2 linked regions of the Notamacropus eugenii genome follow. The main gene of each other region encodes a partner of the protein of the gene in region 2 in a complex. Links are inferred from orthologs where the notes say so. Each region holds a gene or a part of one and is shown on either strand. Other genes may lie near its edges. The genes, in order: ANKS4B and CDHR5.

Evidence for each region.
Region 1: CDHR5 (region 2) and ANKS4B share a complex: the UniProt entries of both Homo sapiens proteins name them as parts of the IMAC/intermicrovillar adhesion complex. The link is inferred for Notamacropus eugenii from reciprocal best matches to the Homo sapiens genes CDHR5 and ANKS4B.

What each region holds. Positions count from the first base shown.
Region 1 is NC_092874.1:397,908,965-397,918,703, forward strand, and holds the start of ANKS4B (ankyrin repeat and SAM domain-containing protein 4B), read right to left. Parts: upstream 3,796-9,739; 5' UTR 3,716-3,795; coding exon 3,552-3,715; intron 1-3,551. UniProt on the Homo sapiens protein: As part of the intermicrovillar adhesion complex/IMAC plays a role in epithelial brush border differentiation, controlling microvilli organization and length. Plays a role in assembly of the complex.
Region 2 is NC_092873.1:27,702,483-27,712,159, reverse strand, and holds the start of CDHR5 (cadherin-related family member 5), read right to left. Parts: upstream 3,715-9,677; 5' UTR 3,620-3,714; coding exon 3,544-3,619; intron 3,301-3,543; coding exon 3,122-3,300; intron 2,922-3,121; coding exon 2,871-2,921; intron 2,785-2,870; coding exon 2,692-2,784; intron 2,593-2,691; coding exon 2,491-2,592; intron 2,271-2,490; coding exon 2,160-2,270; intron 1,814-2,159; coding exon 1,643-1,813; intron 876-1,642; coding exon 785-875; intron 645-784; coding exon 547-644; intron 1-546. UniProt on the Homo sapiens protein: Intermicrovillar adhesion molecule that forms, via its extracellular domain, calcium-dependent heterophilic complexes with CDHR2 on adjacent microvilli. Thereby, controls the packing of microvilli at the apical membrane of epithelial cells.

The sequences.
Region 1 (9,739 bases), on a different chromosome or scaffold from region 2:
AGTATATACTGCTCACAATCTTGCATCATCCACTAAACAAGATTTTATAAATGAGTTTCATTCTAGGTTAGTGCTTCCTCTGGCTACTATTTCTTTCTCTTTGGTGAATAAATCAAGAATTTGCTGACTAAGACTTTAGACTCTTTGAGTTTCCATGTTATGATAATTGGTTTAAAGTTAAAATTATTATCTGTGTCAATGCCCTTCCTACCATTATCATACCTTTTTCATTGGGTTCATTCTTTGTTGCCGAAGAAGACCATGCCATCAGAGAAATGATGATGTGACTTGTACTTGAATTTGTTTTGAGTGAGGGAAATCTGTGCAAGGTCACCAGCCTCATTTCTCCTCCCTATAACTTGTTTGTATAACATAAACAAGTTATAAAATAACTTGTTTTATAAGTCAGGTTTAAATTGTTTCAACTGCATTCCATATGTTTTATTTCCTTTTATTCTTTCCCCTTGTGTTGTATTCATTTTGATCTTTGATCTCACAAGTCTACAGACTGACTGGTCAGGAATTGCTCCCACACTAGTAATGAAGCATTTCCAGTTATTAAAAAGATAATAAATTCTTTTGTGATGCTGTTTGGTTCTCACCACGTCTAGAGCTTAATGAATCTTTTCTTGAAGAAAATCATGGCATTTAGGCTTAAGGCTTCATCTTTGTACTCTTTCATTCTTTTTTGCTGATCCTTTTTTTCAATATATTTCTTGTCATTGTTACCTTGTCCTACCTTTGCATTGAAGTCACTAAGTAACCAAGTATGTGCTGATTTACTTTGGAAGATCTTATCAAGTTCTACTGTAATTTTTCTCTTTGTTCTGTACAATAAATGTTAGTGCATAAGGTATAATTGTTTTCATAGTGATCTTTTTGGAACTACTTATCTTGAGCACCATATTAGATTACCAAATGTTCTATGCATTGATGTTTCTTATTGTTTGGGAATGTCTAATAAGACCAACTGTCAATGCCCTTGTCTCACCAAGGAATACCTATCAACCATCCTTACACTCAGCTTCAACTTCTTTCTTCTAATTCTGTTTATAGTAAGCTGGTCAAGATAAGTATTATTCAGTTCCATACTTAAATGTGCAATGGTGGTCATCCCATGGAATATGCATGCAGCTGAACTGATCTCCCTTAGGTCATCTCTGAATTGGGACATGTGCTGAGCTGATAATGGGACTAAGCTGTTTGGGATGATAAAGCAATCTCTTTATTGGTCACTTAGTCCATGTGACAGTGTCACAGGCAAAGGGTGCCTGTGTCAAAGAGCATTGGTCACTGAGTCACATTAATGTTTTCTATCACATTATGGATATGACTAAGAATCTACTTATTCAATTCTGAGGCTGGAATGGAGGACCTTCAAGGTCAGTTAGTTTAGACCCTTGCTTCTAGGAAAGATTATACATAAATTATCCTAGACAACTATTCCTCCAATTCTTAAAGATCCCTGGGGAATGAAATTTCAGGTATATGATTTTTTCTCTTCCTTTTTCATATTCCTTTCCTTCCCCACTCTCATCTCTCCACTATAACTCCCTATGTTAATCCCAATCCTTGTCATATATTGTGCTGAGATTGGCAGTCCTTGAAAGTGTTCAGCTGAGGTTCCAACTCTTTTCCCCTACTTTTCTTTTCTGATTTGAATAATGCAATGAAAGTGGTTCATCTTCCCCCTTTGCTACCATTCATCCCATAATACCTTTCGTACAATCTGACACAATTGTGCTGTGTTGGCTAATCAATGTTCTTATATTTTGTTAAGGCCCCTTTTCTCTTTCTAAGTGAATAATCCTTTTTGGTAGGGACTGGCTTTTGAATCTTGTTTTATTATTCATTGAGAATTAGTTAGCATCTTCAGTGGAATACAAGGAATTCTGTGGTAACCTCACCTTGATTATTTTCTTTTCTGTACTTGGAGTAAGGTAGATCCTGAAGAAATGATTCTGCCCAAAGCTAATCCTATATGAAAATAAGTGGATAGGCATCATCCTAGAGGTGCATGGAAAGCTCAGTGCCTAAAACTATTCTTACCTTTCTGATCTGAAATCATCACCTGTGGATTACAAGTGGACTAGAGGACAAAGCTGGAAAAAGCTCCCATTAATATAATTTACCTCAGAATGGCTTTTAAGCCTTTTTCCATTAGCACATTGGGGAAAGCTAGTTTATTAGATCATCTTTGAAACTAATGAGAGTAGATGTTAAATAAATTTCACAGAGAAGCAGAGAAAGGTTAAGGAGTAAGGGAGTCAAGGAACAGCAGGAGAGTAGCAGACTAAGGGAGACATCCCTATAATTGGGAGTTGGGGGAAGTCAATGTCAAAGTTGAACAGAATACGTAAAACTTTGCTAATTTCACCACTATGTCTAGGGCTGGCCTTGACCCTGATATTCTCCATCATAAACATCTTTTCAATTTCTTTCCTCCTTTCTTTCTGTGTAATGCCCCCCCCGTCTCTGTCTCTCTCTCTCTCTCTGTCTCTCTCTCTCTCTCTGTCTCTGTCTCTCTCTCTGTCTCTCTCTCTCTCTCTCTCTCTCTCTCTCTCTCTCTCTCTCTCTCTCTCTCTCTCCCTCTCTCCCTCCCTCCCTCCCTCCTTTCCTCCCTCCCTCCCTCCCTCCCCCTTTATTGCACTCCCCCCAACACATATACTGCTTAGTTCTATTGGTGGTCCTCAGAATTAAGCAAATTGCTAATGCCTCAATTAGAACAAAGAGAGATCATTGTTTAGGCCTAGTTTTGGATGAAGTAGTTCCCATAGTGAGGCAAACTCAAAGTCCTATTTATAGCTTATTTAATTGACTCATAAATAAGCCTGCCATCCAACTTTGAAACTGGGTCTCGCTACGGTGTCAGGGACCAGATCTTCAAGAAGGGAACAACTTCATCCAGCGACTTCATAGGTGAAGAGAAAATAAAAATTCTATAAACTGGAATTTATGCTGGTAATGTTCTTGGAAATAGAACTTCTTAAAAGTTGAGCATTTACTTTTGGGTAAAAAGATTCATAAAATAATAGAATTGCTTCTCTCCTATCCCCACCTCCTACTCATTTAAACTGCATTTTAAAATCATGCCAGATACACGGAGTTTATCGTCTTGAAAATATTCAGCAAAGATTTTTAAGTATTTATCCTTGGCAACACATTCCAGTGTCTCTGGCTTATAAAAGAAACATCATCTATTCTTTGCCATTATCACCAGATCATCTTGCTCCATCCTCAATGGCAAAACAAAATAAAACAAAAAACCTAGCATCAGCTCAATGGTTAAAAAAAAATGCATTTCTGGATCTAGGTAAATGTCTATTATTATTATCACAATCATTATTATTGAGATAGGCCTGTCATTCAGAATTGTAAAACACAAGGAAGAGGCGCTAACTATAGGATTTCCCCATTTCCCAAGGAGGCAGTTATTTAAAGACTTCAGGAAAGACTTGTAGGATTTGTCCCACGTGCCATTTACTTTACTCTCATGTGAAAAAATCCCCTGAGTAACTTGGCCTTTATCAAAAACTATAGTCTAAACTTACCCCCTACTACAGATGATCTCCAGAGCTTCCAAGTTGCCATGGTAGGCTGCCAGGAGTGTGGGAGTCATGCCATCTTCATCAGACAGATTAAGATCTCGCTTGGTAGCCTCTTTCAGAATTTCCAGGTAGCCATCAGTCGCAGCTTGGTGGTACCGGGTGGACATTTTAAATTCAGCTCTTCTCTTACCTCAGCCAGCACTCAGAGTGTTTGCCCTAAGTCTTCTGCCAGGCAGAGGCCTACCCAGCAGCCCTGCCTCAATGGGAGGGGTTAATCAGTGACTATAAACTGCAGTATACCTTCAATAAGGTAGAAATATGAGGGCAAAGCTCATCACCTGTCTGCCTCCCTGGAGGAAGCCAGAAAAGTACTTAGATCTGACAGAGGAAATTTTCCTTCCAGAATGGCTGCCAATGGTTATTTTATTTCCTTCACACTCCCAAGTATTTTACAGTTTGGGGGAAAAAGGAACTGAAACAGAGGTTACATCACTAACTGATTATCATAAAGGTGACATAGGCAATATAGTCATTGAACAAAAGGAGACAGTTTTCATTGTCATATAATCTAGCACTACTCCCCAGATTTTATTGGGAAAGTATCTTTTTAAACTATGCTTTCCTCTCTTCTGTTTTCTCTGTCCCCCACTGTCACAAAGAAGACATTATTCCAGGGGGATGCTTTTACGTTTCATGGGTCTTCCGTTCTCAGCTACTTCTCAACAATAATTAGAGATTTAAGCTGACCTTTGATCCTTTTCCTGGTTGCCATGTAAACAGTAGGAGGAGTATTTGAGATAACTGAGTCATTTGGTTGCAAAGAGGAACAAATTCTCCTAGAGCAGGCTAACTTTGTTCAGGGGTTATGGCTAACCTGGGAATGAAGAATGAATCGAACAGAAATGTTGATTCACTTATGAAGAAGCTTTTAATCCACACAATTTAAATTTACTGTCATTCCTATTTTAATCATTTTAATTTCTTTTGGCCCTAGATAATCTTTCTTTGTCTCTCAACCAATGTAATTTTCTTTAAAAAAACCAAAACCAAAACAATATCCATATCTTGCCCCCAAACCTTGAGAGAATTTGTTAATTATATGGATTTCTTTTTTGCTTCTTAACTGTTTATTTACTTGTCTTGCGTTTCTCCCATTTGAAGTATTTCTAGATCAAGTAACCTGTTTGTCTCTGGTGTCTTTAGAAAGAATGATGACAATAGCTTTCTTTGGGAAGGCTTTGAAAGAGAAAGCTTTGGGGAAAGAAAGAATGTCTTGAATGACTGTGATATAACAAGAAAAAGGCATCAATAGCACTTCTTTTTACAGTCCCTTTTTTGGTGAAATCTTTTGTTATTGATGAAGATGCTCCACATTGCATATTTTGGGATGGATTCTGATTGCCTTGGCTGGGGTGGGGGAGGGATATTATATCATATTCCAAAGGTTATTTGAATAGCTTTTCCCTAATATCTAAAAGCCTCTCTCTTTTCTGCCTGCAGTATCTATTATTAGACATTGAAATTTGGTGTTTAACTACTGTGTTGCTTAGAGATTAAAGATCTTATCTGTCCTCCAGGATTGCCATCGATCAGAACTCTGTCATCCATTTTCAATATTCCTAGATAATTTTCATGCATTGTTCCTACAGTACGGTAGTCAGAATTTTCAAATCAATAACATTTTCCCAGGATATCAATAATCCTCAGTTTATCTCTGAGTCCTTTTCTCAAGGTCAGTTTGACTTTTGTAGAATATGAATTCTTCTAACGATGTTATCCTTTGGCTCTGTTTTACCAAATTTTCCTTATCTATAGTTTTGAATCCCAAATCTTTCATTCCTTTTTTACAGTTTCAATGGTTTTATAGACATATGTTTTTGTATTGTAGGAGAATCTAGATGAAAAGCATCATCCTACACAGAATTAATAAACTTTATTTCCCCTCATAGGGCAAGAAAGCTGATTTCAGGGACAATCTCAATGTACAGCCCCTGTACCTGCAGTGGGGTAGCACCAGGTAGCAGGGGTGGGAGGAGGAAGGATCCATACTTCAGTTGATAGAAACCCTCAGGCTAAAATTCATAGATTGTTTGAGAAAAGAAGCAGTATCTTACCAAGGTAAGGCTGACTTGTTTTCTATAGAACCCAAAAAGTGAGAGTATTTATAAAATTACCTAATGAAGAAGGAGGGACATGAGCAGGGAACTAGAAATGAGGAGAAGGGAAAAAGGAAATTTAATTCTAATAGTACCATTCCAGGAAAAGGTTGAAAATGGAGCTTAATGTCTGGGTTTTTGTATACTTGCTTGGGGGTTGTGGGGGGCATCTACGGCCTTATCAATCAAACTGGCTTTCACCCATCCACATTTATTAACTACCTACTTACTCATTTGTTTTGCTGAATTCTTTAGTAGAAGCTCTGGTTTATTGATTAATCTCAGACCTGTTTTCTATTCTAAATTTTCTTATTTCTTTTTAAAAAATTTGTGGAATTTCTTGTTGTTGTTTTTCCTTTTTTAAAAAAATCCAATATTTTTTTCGCATTTCTTTCCAAAACAAATTTTATGGTATCTTTTGTTTTTACAGTACCTATATTTCCCAATTTTTCTCTCCTCCTTCCCTTCACAGAGAGCTATCCTTATAACAAAAAAATTTTTAAAAGATAGAAATCAGTTCAACAAAGCAACACAACGGAAAAAAGTCCAACATTGTCAATATTATTTCAAACTTCATAATCCTCCACTTCTTCCAAAAAGGTAAGGAACTGCCTTGTTCTATTTCTTCTTTCAAGTCAAGCTTGGTTGCTGCAATTTCATAGCATTCAATTTCCTTCTGGAACTTTGGTTAGACTCAGCCGTGTATTTGGACAGTGTTCTGCTGTCTCTTCCTAATTCTGATATCCAGTTACCTTCTCTGTGTTTTGAAAAGATGCATTATTGTTGTTCGTATTGTTTTTATTATCTTATCATTCTAACTTGGCCAACCCTGACTGATGGGATAGCTTGTCAGTCCATTCTTAATGCCACTTCTGGCCATGGGAAAAGGTTAAAAAAAGAGATTTAGTTGATTTAATTGAAGTGATCTAATTTGGTAGGTTTTCCCATATCTTCAACTGGTAACTCTTGCTGTGCCAGCACTAACTTTTTCAATTCAGGGTTTAGTCTGCAGGGTTTTTTATTCCCACAGATTTGCAGTTTCTCCTGTAAATCTAACTAAAGGAAAGATATCAAGTATGAGCATGTGCATTCTGGGTCAGATATATTAAAGAGTCCAATTTGAATTGACTAAAAGTAGCAGTAGTAAAATTATTTTATTAGGAACTGCAAGGTATTTCATTCCTTTGTGGTCATTTAGGTAGAGGGTGGGGAGGACAGAGAGAAGAAAGCAAAGGGTATTACAAATTCATATGTGTACAAATTTCTAATCCACCCTGAGAGAAACTTGCTAGCAAACTTCCAACTAGATTTTTTTCCCTTTGTTTTATAAAGCTATTCATTGCTAAACTGTAAGAGAAATTCAGTGGCTTGAGTGGCCCAGAAATACATATATTCATGTAATAAGTATACTCTCTCTTGCCCTCAAGAGATCTAGTTTTCAATAAGCAGTTTCTCTCCAGTCTCTAAAGCTTTTCATTTCTGATTATAAAAGAAACTTGCTTGCATGGAACAGAAACCCACACATATTTTGGTAATAAGGAAAAAGGCAATGAGAGGAAATCTGCCTTTCAATTCATGTTGCCTTGGTTTTGTATTTCATTTAAGGCAAAACCAACCAGGAAATAAAGGAGTTTCAAAAAAAACCCTTAACAACATGACCCATAGGAAAGTACAAACAATACCTCACTTCGCTACCTTGCAATCTGTTGTGAACTTGTGCATTATCCTATAAAATCTCATTATCTGTTCAGATAAGCACATTGTTGTCAAATGAACTCTTCAGAAAATGACTGCTAGATCTCTGTTTTCTTTTTTGCCATTCGGCCAAAACTGTTTCAACCAACTTGAATAAGACTTTTCTTGTTCACAAGATTTCAGATACTAAGAATAATTGCCTTGTTTTCCTATTAAAAGGATGTAAAAAGACACTTTTTCCTCACATCATTACCATTGCCTACCCATTCTTTTTTCTCTTTCATATTAAAATGTAAGAGAAAAACTAGGTGGGTAGATTGACTCATGGAATTTTAACGCTTCTGAAGGGCTGGTGGGACTTAATTTGTTCACATAAGTTTCAAACTATTCACAGTCCTATTTTCCTGCCAGAATAAAAGACAAAGTTGCTATTGTACCATCTGGTTTGCATGAGGTATTATTTGGCATCTCTCAACTGCATATTTTAAAAATGCTAAATCCCAGACGGTATTACAGTCTAATTAGGACCAGAAACAATAAAGAGGGCTTTTTGTTTTTTGTTTTTTAAGTCCAGCCAAAAAAGAAAAGAAAAGAGAGAAAGAAACCAACCCTCTCATGATTTAGATGTGCTTTATAACGAAGAAAAATGGAGAGGGGCGGGGGGAGAAGAGACATTCGCAGTAAGTGCTATGAATTTTAATTCTACATTTGCAATTAATTGGCTTTTGTGATCTAGGGAAAGTTCTCTCTTTCTTCTCCATTTTTCAGATTTCATACCAATAAATTATTCTGACCTGAAAGTCTCAATCAGGATAATCATATACTTGTTACCCCTTTTCAGATAACAAAGGTCATCAAAATCCATGTAAAATTACAGAATAGATGACCTCTTTAAAGCTTTTATTGGCTGCCATTTTCTTTCACTATGGCAGACTGAATTATAAATCAAACTTAAAATAATATGCAAGTGATTATCAATAGAAAAGGATGCTAATGACTTGATTAGGTTCCTTGGCTTTTCTCTGAAAAAATTCTACTAGTGAATCATCAACTCACATGGTTTCATTTACCATCCATACCTCCACAGTCTCATATGTTGTCTTCTCTTCGGTCCCTCATGCCTTTCTGTGTACAAGGCCTTAGCCTAAAAAGGGTCGGGGTCTCCCATTGCATCCTGGGCCATCTCTAGTCATCCTGATGAATATCTGGCCACTTGATCCAGATGGCTCTAGAGGAGAAAGTGAGGCTGGTGACCTTGCACAGCCCTCTCTCACTGTAGCAACAAGCACCCCTTCTTTGTGGGGGGAGGGCTGTCACAGTCTCAGATATATTTTCCAGAAAGGGAAGCACCAACATCTGGGTTTTCAAAGCTAGAGGGGCTGCTTAGTGCCTTCTCAGAATCTCATCAAGCCAAACAAATACTTCCAGTCAGTAAGCCCCAAAGTAAAACTTCACCCTCAGAGTATTTATACATTTTTTAGAGCCAGAGGGCATCACAACCCTTCAGAGTCAATACCTCATTAGAAAATTAACAAAAGGTATGAGCCTTCCTACAAATCTTCCCAGGTCCATTAATGGGTAAGGAAGATCTTCCCATTAAAAAGCAAAATTATATTAACAGTAAGCAAAAATGCATTATCAATGTACTCACTCAAATCAAAACTAACTGAAAGTCATGTCATCATTTCCCTGATGTCATGATCCTCCTCGAACACTAAGGACAAACAACCCTGTGAGTAGTCCGAGCTGCCTGAATGGGGACCTAGCCAGTAGGGTAACTCAGCTCATCCTGTCCCTTCCCTCTCCTCTCCAAAGGAAGGTAAATTTTGATGGCTAGAAGCTGCCCAGTCAGACAACTTATGGTAGAGTGGAAAGCACACTGTATATCCCTCTACCTAAAGCAAAGTATGAAAGAAATAGTTTCTTCTAAATTTTCTTCTCTAGGTTTATGAAAGACGGACACTTTAATGCACTGTTGATGGAACTGTGAATTGGGCTGACCAATTTTGAACTATAGGCCCAAAGTCACTAGCTTTTGACCAACCATACCACTAAGAGACATTTACCCCCTAAGGAAATCAGAGACAGAGGGAAAGGACTCATATGTATGAAAATACTTATAGCAATTTTTTTTGTTGTAGCAAAGAACTGGAAACTAAAGGAGTAGCACTCATCAATTGTGGAATGGCTGAACAAATTATGGTGTATGAGTGGAATGGAATATTATTGCGCTATAAGAAATGATAACAGGGTTGAATTCAGAAAAACTTTGAAAGACTTCAGAACTCTAATCCAGTCAATGAACTATTTGTCTTCAGAAAACTGATCATGAATCACATT
Region 2 (9,677 bases):
TGGACCAGAGAAACTTAGAGGTGAAATCTACAAGAGACAGAAGTGAAATAGAAGACAAGAGATACTTAGAGGTGAAATCTACAAGAGGTGCTGGATAAGTGAAATCTACAAGACATGCTGCAGAGGTGAAAGTTACAGACTTTAGTCAACACATTGGAGCTGGGGGGTAAAAGTCAGGAGTCCAGGAGTCCAGTCAAAGTTGGGACCCTGAGGGACCAGGAGAAGGGTACCCTCCACACTAATACAGAAGGTTTGGGGAAAAAGAACTTCAGTTTTGGACATGTTGAGTTTCAGATGTCTACGTCCAGTTCAAGATGTCTGAAGGGTAGATGGAAGACTGGAGGTCAGTTGGGAAGTGGGGGCGGGAAGGATAGATTGATTTGAGAATCCTCAGCACAGAGATGGTCATTAATCCATGGTTGCTGATAAGATCTCCAGGTGAAACAGGGAGAAGAGCAGAGGGCCCAGGCCACAGCTAGAGGGACACCCTCCCAGTTGGGGAGGGCATAGGCTAAGAAGGGGAGCATACCTAGACCTGCTTCTCACCTGGACTACCAGGTTGAAAGTCTTGGGGACAGGGACAGCTTTGGCCATGGTGACGTTGCCTGAGTCCACGTCAATTTGAAATGTATCATCTGCATTCCCTGGGGAAGTTTGGGGGGAAGGGAGGTCACCTTCAGTCATCTTTGTGCCTGCCCCCTCCTCCACCCAGAGATAGTGTGGTGGGCAGGCAGCACAGAGGGCCTAGACTCTGATGGGTTGGCAGGGGTAGGATGGATCTCACCTGCAATAATGCTGTATCTGATTGGTTCGTTGATGGCAGTGTCTCCATCAATTGCATATACAGGCCCGGGTTCGAAGGTCAGGGGTAATGTCTACAGGAAGGTAAGAGGAGAACCAGTGGGGGTGGTGTCTCTGACCCAGCCTCCCCTAGTCACACAGACTGGCCAGGTGAGAGGACTGGTAGCCTTCTACAGTGTCCATCTCTTGAGTCCCAAACTGACCCTAATTGGCCTGTACAAATTTCCTGCAGGAAGTGAGCAGTGCCCAGACCTGTCTGCCGAGGAGGCAGAAATAAGGCCACTGGTGGGCTCATCTGGGAGATTATGGAGGGAACTTCCTTGAGAAACTAGGTCATATTAGGAGAGAAAATTGTTATTAAATGATTAGGGCTGGGGACTGGACCCAAGCTTGAGCGGGGTCAGAAACATGCAAGAATATGAGGTTCGGGGCACAAGTCTCCAAAGGATCTGAAAGTCTCCAAGGTTCTCATCCTCCTCATCTCAGCTGTGTCAGACTCTGGATGGAAATAGTCTCCAGCCCTAGTCACTTAATAATTATTTTCTCTCTTAATTTGGCCCAGATTCTCAAGGAAGTCCTTCCTGTATCCTCCCAGACATGCCCACCAGTGGCCTCAGCCCTGCTTCCTTGGCAGGAAGGTCCAGGTACTGCTCACTCTTTTCAGGAACTCTCTGAAGTCCAGTTGGGGTCAGGTTGGAGCCCCCAGGGATGGACACTGTGATCAATGGAGCCCTTTGGGAGACCTTCACTGGCCCTCCCTTCTGGCTACTGAGCATGGGTGGTTAGGAGAGCATGTGAGGAGAGATGCCTCCCTGCCCCCCACCCCAAGCATGGACATTACCAGTATGGAGCCAGTCGGCACAGCTGCTCGGTACTGTGCATTGATGCAGACTCGCCCATCAGTGAACACACAGGGTAAGAACCATGGAGGGCGTATGTCTGCAGGTATCACTTGAATTATGACTGTGGCTGTGGAGGTGTGGCTGGGCTTCACCGCTGGCTCTGAAGTGTCCTGTGGCAGAGACCCCAGCCACACATGAGTGGGATACAGCAGGGCCTCACTGACCACTCCATATTGGTGCGGGGGTACTCTTTTCTATGATCCCCTTCAAAGCTCCTGGTCTTAGAGGATAAAGAGGTCTACTTGGGAACTGGGGGTCACTGGGCATAGGCTTTGCCGTTTTGGTCTGTCAGGACACCTATGTGCCCAAAGGCTCCAGCACATAGATAGAGCTCAAAGAGCCTGAGGAAGCATCCCTCATTTTATAGAGGGAGAAGTCAAGGCCTAGACAGCGGCCAGGACTACCTAGAACCACACAGCCAGACTCCTTGGGGACCCAGGAAGGGGAGGAACTCACTCTTGCCAGAAGGTGGAAGACCAGGATTGGGGTCTTCTCGTAGTCCAGAGCCCGGGTCAGTTGAAGGGCAGGGAAGTTAACCCCAACCAGGGAGAAAACCAGGTCTGCATCCTGAGGTGGAAGTGGAGGGGGCAGGAACCAGTTGGAACCCAATGCTCCCTTCTCTTTCCCCCCAACGCCCCCCCATCTCAGGTAAGTGGCTGAGTCATATACCCCAGTGGAGCCTAGCGCCAGGGTCTGACTGGGAGTTGGGGGGAGAAAGATGCTCCGGAGTCCTGGAGGGGTTGGGGGAGGGAGAGAGGGTGCCCAGGAGGAAGCCAGGTCAACTGACCGAGGGGCTCTGCCCTGAGAGATTGTAGAAGATCGTGTCCCCATCCTTGTCTATGGCTGTGAGTTCTGTGGCTGAGATGACAGTAGTCCCCACGTTGGTGTTCTGCCCAAAATTTAGGAAGTTTGAGTGGGAACAGCTCAGCTCCATCCCTGGTTTGAACCCCAGTCCCCACCACACCACCCTGTGCATTGTGTAGCTCACCTCACTGACATTCCAGGCCTTACTGGAAAAGGCAAACACCGGGGCCATGTCATTGACATTGAGAACCTCCACAATCACAGGCAGAGTGGTCACCTGGGGCAACCCAGGGGTTAGAGGTCAGCAGTCATTCCTTCAGTCCAACCCACTTCCCCATCCCGATGCCTAGCCCCCACACTCACCACTTCAGACCCCTCCTTGCATTCTAACATTGCAGTCAACACGGTATGTGTCTGGGTGGGAGAAAGAAGGGAATGCAGAACCAGTCATTCTCAAAACAAACCAGGCCTCTGGACATCCACACTCTTATGTGACAGATTGAGCGGGGTCCCTCTTCCTGCCTCCCTGCCTGAGGTGGGGTGAACATAGGGGAATACCTAGAGGACCCAGGAAGGGGAAAAGGGATGGCATAGGGGGTTGGATCCTGGCTCACCTCATAATCAGGGGCCCTGGTGAGCCTCAGCTGACCATTCACAATATCGAAGATGTCCTTAGGACTGGATAAGTCACTCACAACCACTGTCTGCCCCAGGGGTGCTGTGACCGTGGCTAGGGGTTCGGTAGGGAGCTCATTCTCAGTCACAGAGAGCAGCGTCTGATTCACAGAGCACACTGTGGGGGGGAGGGGATTCCCACTCTGAATCAGCACTAACCCCTGAACTTCCCTGGAAGCCCCCTCCATCCCTGCCCCCAGCCTCTCCTCCCTCAAACCCTCCTCCCCCCAGCCCCCTGCTCCCAGCCTCTCCTCCCTCAGCCCCTCCTACCCCCCAGCCCCCATCCTTTCCTGCCCTTCACCATCTCCCTTGCCTCCCTGACTCTCTCCCCCAAGCCCTGCCTTCTTTTCAACCCCACTACCCTGGGTCTGGCCCTCAGCTCCAGGGAGAAGCAGCAGCAGTGGCAGAAGCCCCAGCGTCCACCCAGAGGCCTCCATGGTGGGAGAGCAACCCAGCCCTCCACCCGGGGAGCCTCTGAGGAAGGGGAGAAAAGATCCTTCAGCCTGGCTTGGCTCAGCCGGCCCTGCCCTGCTGCTCTCCTGGCACGAAGGAACGGAGAGCGACCTTTGAGACGGGCAAATGACGATTATTTATGGCACCTACAGCCAGGGCTCTGACACGCCCCCACCCCCAAGGTCTCAGCCCTCCCAGCACCCCAGAACAGAGCCTGGGACGCCGACCTCTGACTGGCCCTGGCCCTGGGGAGGTGTTGGGGAACACAAGCTTGAGTCTGGGTTGTAGAGAATCAGAAGATCCCTGCCCTTTGTCCCTCCACCGAACACAGGAGGAAATGAAACAGTCGCCCTGGACCTTTGAGGGCTTCCCAGGCTGCCCGTTCTTCTGGAGCATCCATCCTGTCCCTCCCTCCTCATTTCAGACCATTAACTAGTTAGTGGCCTCAACTTCGGAAAAAAGAACTTTGTGTTCCCTTGCTGTGCCCGGAGGGCCCAATCCTTGGGAAGACGTGAGAGGATGAGACCTCCTTCAGCTGGGAATGACAGGAGAGGTCATTTGTATGGGAGACTGGTTGTCAGGGCTGGGGCTGGGAAGGGAATCAGGCTGCTCATTTCAGGCATAGGGGAGGGAGCAATGGATGGACCCCCAGATACCTGCACAGGCCCTCTGGCAAAGGAGCTCGGGAAATTTTCTGTTCTTCATTATGAACTGAATCACTCAAAAACAACCAAAACCAGTAACTCACATTTCTATAGTGGTCTAAAGTTTACAAATAGTCAACTAGTCTTTCTCAAGTACCTAATATATGCCTGGCATTGTGTTAAGCCAGGAGTGGGGAAACCTGTGGTCTCATGGCTCCCAAGTGCGACTTTGAATCCAAACTTCACAGAGCATTTGTGCACAGAGGATTCATTTTGTGAAGTTTGGATACAGTAAAGGGCTGCATTTGAGGGCCTAGAGGGCCACACGTGGCCTCGAGGCTGTAAGTTCCCTAGTCCTGTATTAAGCATTGGAGAATACATAGAAACGTCCAGATAGGATGGCATTTGACTCTCACAGACTGTTCTGTTTGTTGTTATCAAGTCATATCTGATGCTTTGTGACCCCGTTTGTGGTTTTCCTGGCACAGATACTAGAGGGGTTTGCCATTTGGTTCTCTAGCTCATTTTACAGATGAGGAAACTGAGGCAAATAGAGTGAAGCAACTTGTCCAGGGTCATTTAACTAGTAAATGTCTGAGGCTGGGTTTGAACTCAGGTCCTCCTGACTCCAAGTGCAGGGCTCTAGAACTCAGGGAGAGAGAGGGCAAGATTGATCCTCTCTGATCATACTTATCTCCACCCACTGGGGGCTGATTGAGGTGGGGAACGTTCACTGGAGATTAGCTACAGAGGGTTTTATTCCAAGGCTAAGGAGGTCAGGGCTACTAGGCTTCCTTTCTAAGCAAAGTTAGAAAGATAGAAAAGTCAGAGTACAAAGAAAACTCCCAAAGAGCTGAATGCCCCCCAGACTTTGGCGGATTGGCCGGTCCCAGGCAGCTGACTTAGTATAATTACTGCCTTCTGTGCCCCCACCCCGCCTCTCCCACTTTAAGCCTCCTTTGGCTGGCAGACCATTCTACTCCTGAGAAAGTGCAAGATGACAATGGAGTGAGCAGGAGAAAGGTAGCCTCTGTGCTCTGTCTCAGAAGACACAAGACCCAGACCTTAGGTTTGCTTTCCCCATTTTCCTTTGATTGAATCAGTAACTTCTTTTGTAATCTTGTTTCATTCACCAGCTAGAAAAGTTGGAATTTTCTCAAGTGATTCCACTGGCAACCCCATCACCCCAACAGGAATGTCCATGCTAGCCTATGGGGTCACCACCAACATCCCCCAGCCCAGGAGGGTGGGGAGTTCCTACCTGGATTCTATGGGCAGGGGGGCATTTGTGCTGGAGGGGTGGTCAGGGTAGAGAGGCAAAGAAGTGCGTGTGAGGCTTGGAAGATGGTGGTTTCCTTGGGAAGGTTACTTCGGGCTTTGGTTGCTCACCATGTGAACTCCTTTCCTTTGGGCATTTCTGCAGCCTTTAGACCTGCTGCTGCTAGAAACACATTCCTGGCCAATTCAAAATTTTCCTTCAGCACCAGTTCTTCAACTTATGTGCCTGCTGTAACCCAACATGCTCCATATTTTAAGGGTACAGCTGTTGTCAAAGGAGAATTCAAAGAAATCAGCCTTGATGACTTTAAAGGCAAATATTTGGTGCTTTTCTTCTATCCTCTTGATTTCACTTTTGTGCGTCTGACAGAAATTGTTGCTTTTAATGACAAAGCTAACGAATTTCATGATGTGAGCTGTGAAGTCGTTGCGGTTTCAGTGGATTCCCAATTTAGCCATCTGGCCTGAATAAATACACCAAGAAATAGTGGTTGTTTAGGCCATATGAATATTCTGCTCCTGTCAGATTTAACCAAACAAATTTCCCAGGACTATGGTGTTCTGCTTGAAGGACCTGGCCTTGCATTAAGAGGTCTCTTCTTAATTGACCCTAACGGAGTTATCAAACACATGAGTATCAATGATCTCCCTGTGGGCCAAAGTGTGGAAGAAACTCTTTGTTTGGTGAAGGCGTTCCAGTTTGTGGAAGTACATGGAGAGGTCTGTCCAGCAAATTGGACACCAAATTCGCTTACGATCAAGCCATCTCTGAATGCTTCCAAAGAATACTTTGGGAAAGTGAATAAATAAACAATACCAAGTATTGAAGACCCATGTGGCTTTTTAAATTATGAAGAAACCACAAACTGGAATCTACAATAATATATAAAAAATTACTGCATATAGAAGAGTAGAATATGTGCAAGTTATGCCTATTTCTGTGAATTTCACCCCCAAATGCTCAGTTTTCATCAAATTGCCCCCTCAAAAAAACTATTTAACTTTGATAGTTGTTGCTAGTTCAGAGTATCATTTAGTACAAAATCCTTGCTTTCCCCATAGGTCTCCTTTACACATTACACTTAACATATATTTGGTGTCTTCATCAGAACCTAGAGGTTCCCTTCCTGAATTGATAGGCTAAAGAAATCGCTGTTGTCTTTCTATGCGTAAGAAACAGGTGTAGCAATCAGAATGCTCTGAGGGGCTTGAGTTAGAGGTGAACAGGTATAACTGCTTTCCCTTAACTGATTATCCCTTTGTAGATTTTTTTTTTTATTATTAAACCATAGCCATTTTTCTCCATAAAGTGAATGTCCTGTAACTAAAGACAGTAACTTCAGAGGTCTAATTTGACTCATGGCATATTTGAGTATAAGACAAGTATGAAGTATATTTACTGTTTAAAAAAATCTAACACTTAACAGTAGTAAATTAAAGTAGTTAATCATGGGCAGACCAGAGATTTTTAATTCAGGGATTCATTTACCATTATTTGAAGTTTGAGTGAACTTTATGTCTTGATATATTTCAAATACTATTTAATTTGACTGTAAAAGATACTTGTTGAACCCCAGAGTTATGTATAATGCAGCTCTGGAAATTATTATTGAACATTTATTTTTTGTAGCTGGTGAATAGCTCAGTGTACATTCTTTAATCAAGAATAAAGAAATTTTAAAGTAAAAAAAAAAAGAAAGACGTGTGTGAATGTTTGTTGATGGCCCTTCTTCCCTTGTCTAGGAAGATGATGAAAAGATGCCATAGGTACAGTATAGTGGCACTGATCTTCCCTCAGAGGCTTATTAGCTATGTGACCCTGGCAAGTCACTTATCCTCTCAGCCTCAGTTTCCTTAACTGTCAAATAGGAATAATAGCAGCGCCCCCCTCCAAGATTATTATGAGGATCCAAAGAGATAATATTTGTAAAGTACTCAGCACAGTGCCTGGCATCTTGTACAGGTACTTAATAAATGTGTGTTTCAGAGGAGAGAAGTGGAGCCAAGCCGGTGGAGAAAAGGCAGGTGCTTGCCTCTCAGCACCTTTAAATAATGTCCCAAAACAATTCCTGGAGCAGCAGAACCCACAAAAGGATGGAGGGAAATAATCTTTCTAGCCAAAGACAACCTAGAAGGTAAGGTCAACAGGAAAGAGGGAAGGGAGCCGGCAGCTAGTCAGAGAGATGGACGCAGTGAGGCAGGATTCTGTTGCTTTGCAACCAAGAATAACCTATCCAGCAAGACTGAGTATAATCCTGAGTATAATTAGTGATGGGGAGCGAGTGAACTTTACTTTCATCATAGCTGACTCAAAGAGGAAATAACATACACATCCAGTTGAGTACAGAAATCTGTCTTACCCTACAGGAAAGGAGGGGAAGGGAGGTGATAGAAAGGAGGGCAGATTGGGAAAGGAGCAGTCAGAAGCAAAGCACTTGAGGAGGGACAGGATGGAGGGAAAAACCACTAGCAATAGTAATGGTGAAAAAAATTTTGGAGCAAGTTTCTCTGGTGAAGACCTCATTTCTCAAACATATAAAGAACTGAGTCAAATTTATAAAAGCAAGAGTCATTCCCCAATTGATAAACGATTAAAAGATATGAACAGTTTTTAGATGAAGTAATCAAATCTATCTATAGCCAACTGAACAAAACTCCGTATTGATTGGAAAAATGAAAATTGAAACAATTCTAAGGTGCTACCTCATACCTATTAAATTGGTTAATAGGACAGAGAAGGACAATGAACAATGTTGGAGGGGATGTGGGGAAAATGAGACATTAATGCACCGTTGGTGGAGTTATGACCTGATTCAGCCATTGTGTAGCACAATTTGGAACTCTGCCCAAAGGGTTACAAAACCATGCATTCCCTGGTTGGCCATGTTGTTCTAATGCGAAACGTGTGCTTGCCAAAAAAGACTCTTTTATGGAGAACTCACACAGGACAAGCGTTCACATGGTGGTCAGAAGAAGTGATACAAGGACACTCTCAAGGTCTCTCTGAAGAACTTTGAAATTGATTATGGGAGACAGACACAGGACCAGTTAGCATAGTGTGTTCTCATCAGAGAAGATGCTGTTCTTTATGAATGAAGCAGAATTGAAGCAGTTCAAAAGGAATACAAGATGCATAAATTTAGAGGATCCTCCCCAAATGTTCATATGGACTCTTTGTGCCCGACCTGCGGGGAACCATTCTTGTATTGGTCCAATCAGTCACAGTCAGACACAATGTCATTTTGGTCTTTAAGAACCAAGGACAACAACCAACCGACAGCTGCTAGGTCTCTATCCCGAAAGAGATAAAAAACAAAAAAGAAAAGGACCTATATGCACAAAAATATTTCTATCAGCTCATTTATGGGGGCAAAGAATTGGACATAGGTGACTACGTTGGAATACTATTGTACTAAAAGAAACGATGAGCAGAAAAGCTTGGAAAGACTTACATGAGCTGGTGCAAAGTGAAATGCACTGTGTACAAAGTGACAGCAGTATTATAAGGTGATCAGCCGGGAATGACTGAGCTATTCTCACCGATACAATGATCCAAGACAACTTTGAAGGCCTTAGGATGAAGGATATTCTTCATCCCCAGAGAAAGAACTGAGAGTGTCTGAATACAGACTGAAGTAGACTTTTCTTTATTTTTCTTGAGGTGGAGTTTTTTAATTTCTTTCACATCATGACCGATACGGAAGTGTTTGGCATGATGACCAAAGAAAAAAAGTAAATCGGTGTTTCCCTCCTTCCTTATTTTATAATGCATATACTCAGTGAATACAATCTTTTCCCACTTCTGAAGGCCAAAGCATGCCTTGTCTCACACTAGCTTCCCTCCTGTGGCTCACTCCTCCATCCTTCTGGCCCATTAGAGCTCAGAACCACCATGTGTTGTTGGTGTGAACTCTCTCGCTTGCCCTTTTTCTCCCCATTAGACTGGGAACACCTGAAAGGCAGAGATTGTTTTTTGCCTTTCCTTGTATCCGCAGCTTTTGGCACTGTGCATGGTGATTACAGGTGCTTAATAAATGCTTGTGGAGTGACAGATTGACTGATAAGTTGGCGAAAACCTATAAATTCCTTTGGTTTTAAATGAGAAAAGGGAAGTACATGG